Kluyveromyces lactis: one gene and its partners. The main gene of each other region encodes a partner of the protein of the gene in region 2 in a complex. Links are inferred from orthologs where the notes say so. Each region holds a gene or a part of one and is shown on either strand. Other genes may lie near its edges. The genes, in order: MRPL49, IMG1 and RTC6.

What was found.
Region 1: IMG1 (region 2) and MRPL49 share a complex: the UniProt entries of both Saccharomyces cerevisiae proteins name them as parts of the mitochondrial large ribosomal subunit. The link is inferred for Kluyveromyces lactis from reciprocal best matches to the Saccharomyces cerevisiae genes IMG1 and MRPL49.
Region 3: IMG1 (region 2) and RTC6 share a complex: the UniProt entries of both Saccharomyces cerevisiae proteins name them as parts of the mitochondrial large ribosomal subunit. The link is inferred for Kluyveromyces lactis from reciprocal best matches to the Saccharomyces cerevisiae genes IMG1 and RTC6.

Annotation. Positions count from the first base shown.
Region 1 is NC_006042.1:1,309,223-1,311,475, forward strand, and holds MRPL49 (mitochondrial 54S ribosomal protein bL21m), read left to right. Parts: upstream 1-1,098; coding exon 1,099-1,581; downstream 1,582-2,253. Other genes in the region: enoyl-CoA hydratase PHS1, read left to right, coding at 136-780; mitogen-activated protein kinase kinase kinase BCK1, read left to right, coding at 1,899-2,253. UniProt on the Saccharomyces cerevisiae protein: Component of the mitochondrial ribosome (mitoribosome), a dedicated translation machinery responsible for the synthesis of mitochondrial genome-encoded proteins, including at least some of the essential transmembrane subunits of the mitochondrial respiratory chain.
Region 2 is NC_006042.1:571,644-574,025, forward strand, and holds IMG1 (mitochondrial 54S ribosomal protein bL19m), read left to right. Parts: upstream 1-1,365; coding exon 1,366-1,881; downstream 1,882-2,382. Other genes in the region: BUD23 (18S rRNA (guanine1575-N7)-methyltransferase), read left to right, coding at 253-1,056. UniProt on the Saccharomyces cerevisiae protein: Component of the mitochondrial ribosome (mitoribosome), a dedicated translation machinery responsible for the synthesis of mitochondrial genome-encoded proteins, including at least some of the essential transmembrane subunits of the mitochondrial respiratory chain.
Region 3 is NC_006041.1:1,683,271-1,685,671, reverse strand, and holds RTC6 (mitochondrial 54S ribosomal protein bL36m), read left to right. Parts: upstream 1-1,504; coding exon 1,505-1,747; downstream 1,748-2,401. Other genes in the region: kinetochore-microtubule binding complex subunit SPC105, read right to left, coding at 1-921; tRNA (34-2'-O)-methyltransferase regulator RTT10, read right to left, coding at 1,925-2,401. UniProt on the Saccharomyces cerevisiae protein: Component of the mitochondrial ribosome (mitoribosome), a dedicated translation machinery responsible for the synthesis of mitochondrial genome-encoded proteins, including at least some of the essential transmembrane subunits of the mitochondrial respiratory chain.

The DNA of each region.
Region 1 (2,253 bases), about 740 kb from region 2:
TGCATCACTTAATTTTATGAATCTGAAACCATGAATTCTTGTTATTGACAAAAACTGGTCTGTTTAGAACCGAACTGGATCTTAATAAATTGAACCCCGAAGTCCAAAGAGCCCACCAATACACTTTCACACCCAATGGCATCATCTAAGGCTTCTATCTTCTCCTTCCTTCCTCTTTACAACCTACTTTCTGCTTCTGCCTGGGCTTATGTCCTATATCAAGTCGTGACCCTTTACCCAAAGATCGGTCAACCAAGTTTCTTTATTGCTACCAAGGATTTAGTCACGTACGTTCAATGCGGTGCTATAATTGAAGTCACAAATTCTTTGTTTGGAATAGTCCGTGCTCCGCTAGTGACCACTGCTGCTCAAGTGGCCTCTCGACTCTTGGTAGTCATCGGTATCTTCCAGTATGTGCCGGAAGCAGAAAATGCGCATAAAATATATTACATCACGTTGTTGTCGGCATGGTGTATTGCTGAAATAGTGAGGTACATGTTCTACTTCTTCAACTTGGTGGCTCAAGCGCCTACTGTACTTGTTGTATTGAGATATAACATGTTTTACGTGCTATATCCATTGGGCGTCGGCAGCGAATTGTTCATAATTTATTCTGCATTGCCGTTGGCTGAAGCAAAATACAATATCTTGTACAAGTATTTCTTAATTGCAGGTATGCTAGCCTACATTCCAGGGTTCCCGGTGCTATTCTCACACATGGTTGCCCAAAGAAGGAAGGTCATGAGATCCTTGAACGGTGATAAACGCAAATCTGCATGAATTGTCACAGGATTAAAAGAATAGTTTGACTCATGTATAAAAGTTCTGTAACATTTGTAACATACCCGAATGAATGCACAAATGAAACGACGCTGTCCCTTGGCGTGGCCGTTGGCTCTTCCTTCTCATGACTGTGTGTGTGCCCTACTTTTCACGTCACGTCACGTGACTGACATCAACACTTAACTCTCGAAGGCTCAAAAAATTTTCTGTTGAAACAGTATACGACTAGTTGAACAACATTTAAGACAAGTGAGAAGAAGCAGATTGAAAGGGCTATTGCATCTGCCAATTGTCGTTCGAATCAGTGCAGAAACGATGTTCAAGAATATCAGTCATATGTTTGCCCTCCCAGTAAGGCAAATGGTGGGTTTCAGCCCATTTCTTCAACCTTTGAAGAGAAGTTTCATCAGAACAACACACTCGGTAGCAGAAAAAGCGAAGGTGAATTTAACGCCGTTGAAGTTATCCAATGAGCTATATGCCGTATTCAGAATACACAACAGACCATACTTGGTGACAGAAGGAGATAAGGTTATCTTACCGTTTAAACTGAAGCAAGCAGAGGTCGGCGATGTGCTAAATTTGACTGATGTGACTACCATTGGTTCTCGTAACTTCAAGCTCGTGGACGAACCTATTGATCCATCTCTATACACTATTAAGGCTACAGTTCTTGAGAAGACAAAACGCCCGCTTAGAGTGAGAGAAGTTACCAAGAGAAGAAACAGGAAAGTGCGTCATGCGGTCAATAAAGCCGATTTGACTATTCTGAGAATATCCGAGCTAAAAGTCAATTAATGAACTAACCCTCCTACAAAATCGTGTAAATAAAAGTTTAATATAATGTTAGGTCGTTATAGATCGATTAGAAATACTATACCATCTAGTAACTATGTTTTAGTGGCAGCATCTCATCGAATTTGTTAGAAACGTTTACCGTTTTAGAGAATAGATATAAATTCAAATAGAAACAATTGTAATTAATACCATTTTAATCGTTAATAAAGAGGGGAGAAAGACGATAAGAGAAGAGCTTAGTGCAACAATTACTGGGTATCGATACTTTAGTATCTGATAAGTAAAGTCCCGCTAAATATAGATGAACCGTGGATGATATGTCTTTCTTGAAGAAGAAGAGTAGCACTGCTGGACATTCAAGGTCAGGATCTGCCTCATCTATACTCAACAAACATGTTGATCCTGCCAATATCAGTGAGTTTTATCCATCGTCATTGGATCACAAGGTGACCAGTGGTTTGAAGAACGATTATAGTTTTGATTCCAGCAGCAAGGGATCCAGGAAGTCCTCTGGTGGGAGCACCAATTCGTTAACATCTGAGCGACTATTATTCAATTGGGATGTCACTGATCCGAGCCAGTGGACGATGCCCAGGATAATACAGTGGTTCAGAGCTAACGATTTCAACGATCAGTGGATTACATTTTTCAAGAGGAATAGTATAAGCGGGA
Region 2 (2,382 bases):
TAGTAAGGACTTGTAATCTTATATCTACTAGCTTGATACGTTCCCTATTGCACGTGACCACATTCTTTACTACAACCAAGTTTCTTTTCCGAACGTTTGATTCAAAATTTTAAAGCTCATCTCGGTCATCGCCAAACATTTACGAACTAACAATGGCTACTTGAGCAAGCTGTTTGCATTGATATGCTCTGTTAATCAACTGACGGGAATAAAGTATAATAGGATAACAATTACAAGAAGTTTGAGATCGAAATGTCACGTCCAGAAGATTTGGCACCACCAGAAGTGTTTTACAATGACAGTGAATCTAAGAAGTATAGTGGCTCCACAAGAGTGCAACATATTCAAGCTAAAATGACACTTCGGGCCTTAGAACTTCTCAACCTGCCACATACATCATATATCTTGGATATTGGGTGTGGGTCTGGTTTAAGTGGTGAAATCATCACTGAAGAAGGACATATATGGTGTGGATTAGACATTTCTCCTAGTATGTTAGCTGAAGCGCTAGAAAGAGAAGTTGAAGGTGATCTTATGTTACACGATATAGGTCAAGGTATTCCATTTAGAGCAGGTGTATTTGATGCGGCAATTAGTATATCTGTGATTCAATGGTTATGTAATGCGGACACATCGTACAACGATCCAAAGAGAAGGCTCATGAGGTTCTTCAATACACTATTTGCTAGTTTGAAGAAAGGAGGAAAATTTGTAGCACAATTCTATCCAAAGAATGATGATCAAATAGACCAAATCTTGGGAGCAGCAAAAGTAGCTGGATTCTCTGGTGGCCTTGTCATTGATGATCCCGAGTCCAAAAAGAACAAGAAGTACTACTTGGTATTAAGCTCCGGATCTACAGAACAGAATGAACAAGTCAACTTGGATGGTGTTAAGATGGATGCAGATCTAATGGTAAAGAGAGAGCGTAAAAAGAAACTAGTTGAATCAAGTAAGGATTACATCAACAGAAAGAAGGAGGTGATGAAAAAAAGAGGTAGAAAGGTAGCTCTCGACTCGAAGTTTACGGGTAGAAAGAGAAGACCTAGGTTTTAGTATGGTCTTGCATATATAGAATTAGTAGATACGCACTTAATACAATCAGCAAACATGGACTGAAACGTTATCATTCATTCACCATTTTCCGTGTCTATTGCATCTGCCATGATCAAAACGTTTAAAATGATCATCAAACCTATGTTGTAGTTTTCCATAGAAAGAACATTCGAAAATTTTGGTTAAAAAAGATGGAAACATAAGTACCTAAGAGTTAAGAAAGCACTGAAGCGCAGTTTATATTTGAGTTTAAGCCTTTACTACCCGTCAGATCAAGTTCCCATTCCAAAACTATATTAGTCCCATACAATGTTAAAGAGACTACTACCTACCGTTATCAGACAATCTGTTAGAAGTTATCAACTTCCAGCTAAGAGTGGAAGAAAGATTATTCCAGTTTACCCACCAGTTGAAAGAATATCCTCCCCATTAGTAGTGAAGACTCTAGCTGATCATGATCTAAAACAACTTGACCCAACTGGTGTAAAAACAGAGATGGTTTCAAAGAAAAACCCAAATCGTCTACGTGCAGGTGATGTTCTTCGTGTAGTTTACGATTCCAAGAAATGCAACTACGATAGTTTTACTGGATATGTGCTATCGGTAGACCGTAAGCCAATAGTACAAGACACATCCATTCTATTAAGAGATTATATTTATAAAACCTGTGTGGAAATGAGAGTGCCAATCTTCTCACCATTGGTAGAGAGAATTGATTTGATTAGAAGAGCGGATGGTAAGAGACGCAGAAGTAAACATTATTACATCAGAAACACCAGATTGGATGTCGGAGATTTGGAAGCAAGTATGAGAAAGAAGAAATGAGCACATTCACACTATCAAACACTTGCTGAATTTTCATAAAATGAAACATGTACATAGAAGCAATTCAAACATATAGTAAGTAATGCTCGATATCAATGCAAACCCAAAGACAAGGAAGATTCAAAGTTGAAAGAGCTCCAGAGTTGAACCATAATGCAAGGTACTCTATGCAGGTCCAGCTTCTCTAGGTAAAGTTATTTGTATCATTAGCATGTCGGGTGGATATATAATTGTATAATCTGTAAAATAAAAAGGCGGATTATGCTAGTCCTTATACCTCATCAAGTGCATCCAATAAGAAAGGAAAATCATGAGAAAGGATAAGCATAAGAAAGGATTTGTACGCTCTATCTAAAACAAAGCTGCATTGAGTGAGCAAGTTGCTCTATTAGAAATGAAAAGATTACAAGCAATTTTGGTCCGCATTTTTGATAATTTATGAAGGTTCTTGATTGGTTCAAAAAAGTAGTGGTATAATGTTATGAAAGCCGTACCAGCCGT
Region 3 (2,401 bases), on a different chromosome or scaffold from region 2:
CTCTTGCACTTGCACTGGTACCTGCAATTTGACCGGAGACTGATAACCACCGTTAGATAATTTCCTTCTTTTTGACTGCGGGAGTTGAGTTGGTTCTAGTTGAGTTGAAGAAACTATCTGTGACTCTCGCATCTCCAGAGGAGCCTGCACGTTTGTAAATTCCATTGTTTCCTCTGTAATTGCTGGTATCTTAGGTAATTTGAAAGCAGATTCTGAATCTGCATCTAGCGTAGGTTTTTCTGCATCCATCCGTATTTGGTCAGTTATTTCCATAGACTCTTCTTCGTTAAAGCGGCGTTTCTGCGGTTCTGTAAGGTCCATTGTTTCCTCCAAAACTTGGTCTTCGTTACCATTCTCTTCTTCTTCTTCCGCAGCAGTAGAGGTTTCTTGCGGTACCACATTATCGTCTGGTTTAGCGCTATGTTTTGCAAATAACTGTGTTATATCCATTGAAACCTCTTTGTCGAACACAGGTTGGTACCCATCATTTTTCGGTTCGCTTGGAGACTCCAATTTTTGGAATATTGAACCTATCGGACTAGTAAATTCCATTGTTTCTCCAGAATTGTCGTTATCATTTTTGGTATCGGCCATAGAGGCTTCAGCTACTGCCACTTCCAATTTTAAAGCGGATTTCCTTCGAGGTTCCCTTACATTTTGAATCGATTGTGGTATGAATTCGAACTTGTGCAAAGTCACATCTGGTGCAAAGGACACACGGCGATTTCCCTTCGAAATCGCAGCACTGATCCGGGATGTCGTATTGTTTCCGTCCAGTATATCTTCTTTGGTAATTCCCTCAGTAGGAAACTGTATCTGGGACATAGTCAAATTATGACTGGTGTTAGTTGTATCATCATCCTTAAATTTTTGCTTAAGGATACTTCTCGGAAGCAAAGACAATCGTTTTGGATCTGTCATATGAAGCGAGACTATCAACACAGGGTGAAATATGATAATAAATGGAAACTTAACCTAAATATTAGTCCTTAAGTTTATGATGATTCGGTATTTGTGTGTCAATATATTGATCTAAAATTCGATTGTTTACGTTTTCGAAGTTCAATGTTTTCGATTCAGAGCGCTGCTGCACATACAGTGAGAACCGAGAAAAAGGATAAAACAACTGCCTTGAAGAGTCTCTTAGAAAGGATGGGTGTACTTCATCAATTATTTATTTGTTAGTGATTCGAAACGGTCTTCAGATTTGCCCAAAGATGTTCACTAGATGAGGATGTTCAAGATCTCAGGTCATAACCATCACGTGCTATAGTCCGGGTAAATATCTTAATCTCCATTGAAACTATTTTGAAAAATTATCGAAGGCCTTTTCATGGTAGATCATCAGCTATAGAGGGCATGTTCAGTCGGTGTGATGCCTTATTGACGATTGTGGACTCCATTAGTACGTTTCAAGACCGTGGGTGATATCAAAAACTGAAAACTCTTCACAGGTATAACTCTGGAGCCCGATATAATATAAAGAGAGGGAAATACATACATAATGAGCACACTTTTCGGAAGTACGATGTTGAACTCGTTGACAAGACTGACAAGGCCAGCTGTGAAAAGTATCAATATGCTATCTATGCCAATGATGGGTCTTATGAACCCTCCTTTGACCAGAGGTTTTAAGGTAAGAACTTCCATCAAGAAGTTCTGTAACGATTGTTACATGGTTAGACGTAAGGGCAGAGTGTACGTTTACTGTAAGTCCAATAAGAAGCATAAACAACGTCAAGGTTGAATTACAATCGCCCTCCCATTCGTCCCAATCTTTCATGTATATAGATAAGTCATAATGGAGGATGTGTTCTTTTCTTGAATGTGGAAAAATGCAGCCTTCTTTCTATAAATAATTTCCATTCTATACTAATAAACTGGTTTTAAATATATAAAATTCTGAAGTTTAGATGGTTAGATATTATTCATCTCGCCAACAGGAAAGTCCTAATCCTCCTATTAATATAAGTGTTTTCTGGACGTTTGGTAACGTAACTATATCACTGGAACCGGTATCTGCTACTGTGGTATATTTGCTCTCCGTTATTTTCAGTTTGTCATTCGTAATGTCCCTAATTCTTATGACCTGGTCCACTGATGTAGCCAATAATTTTGTGTCATTATCTAACAGATTCACTGATGTTACTGTTGATGAAGCAGCATACGAATCGTGATCTAGTATTTCGGCTTTCATCGTGTAGTTGTCATTGTTCGTAAATTTAGTGATGGCTACAGCATTGTCATCACCCCCAGAATATACTTTGAATGAATCCGAAGACTTGTCAAGCTTCACGTCGAGTGATTTGATACCTGCTGTGTGTACCAGGATTTTTTCGGACCAGTTTTGTAATTGTTTTGTTTCCAATTTGAGGCCCCTGTCAAAAAGCTCATTATTCCT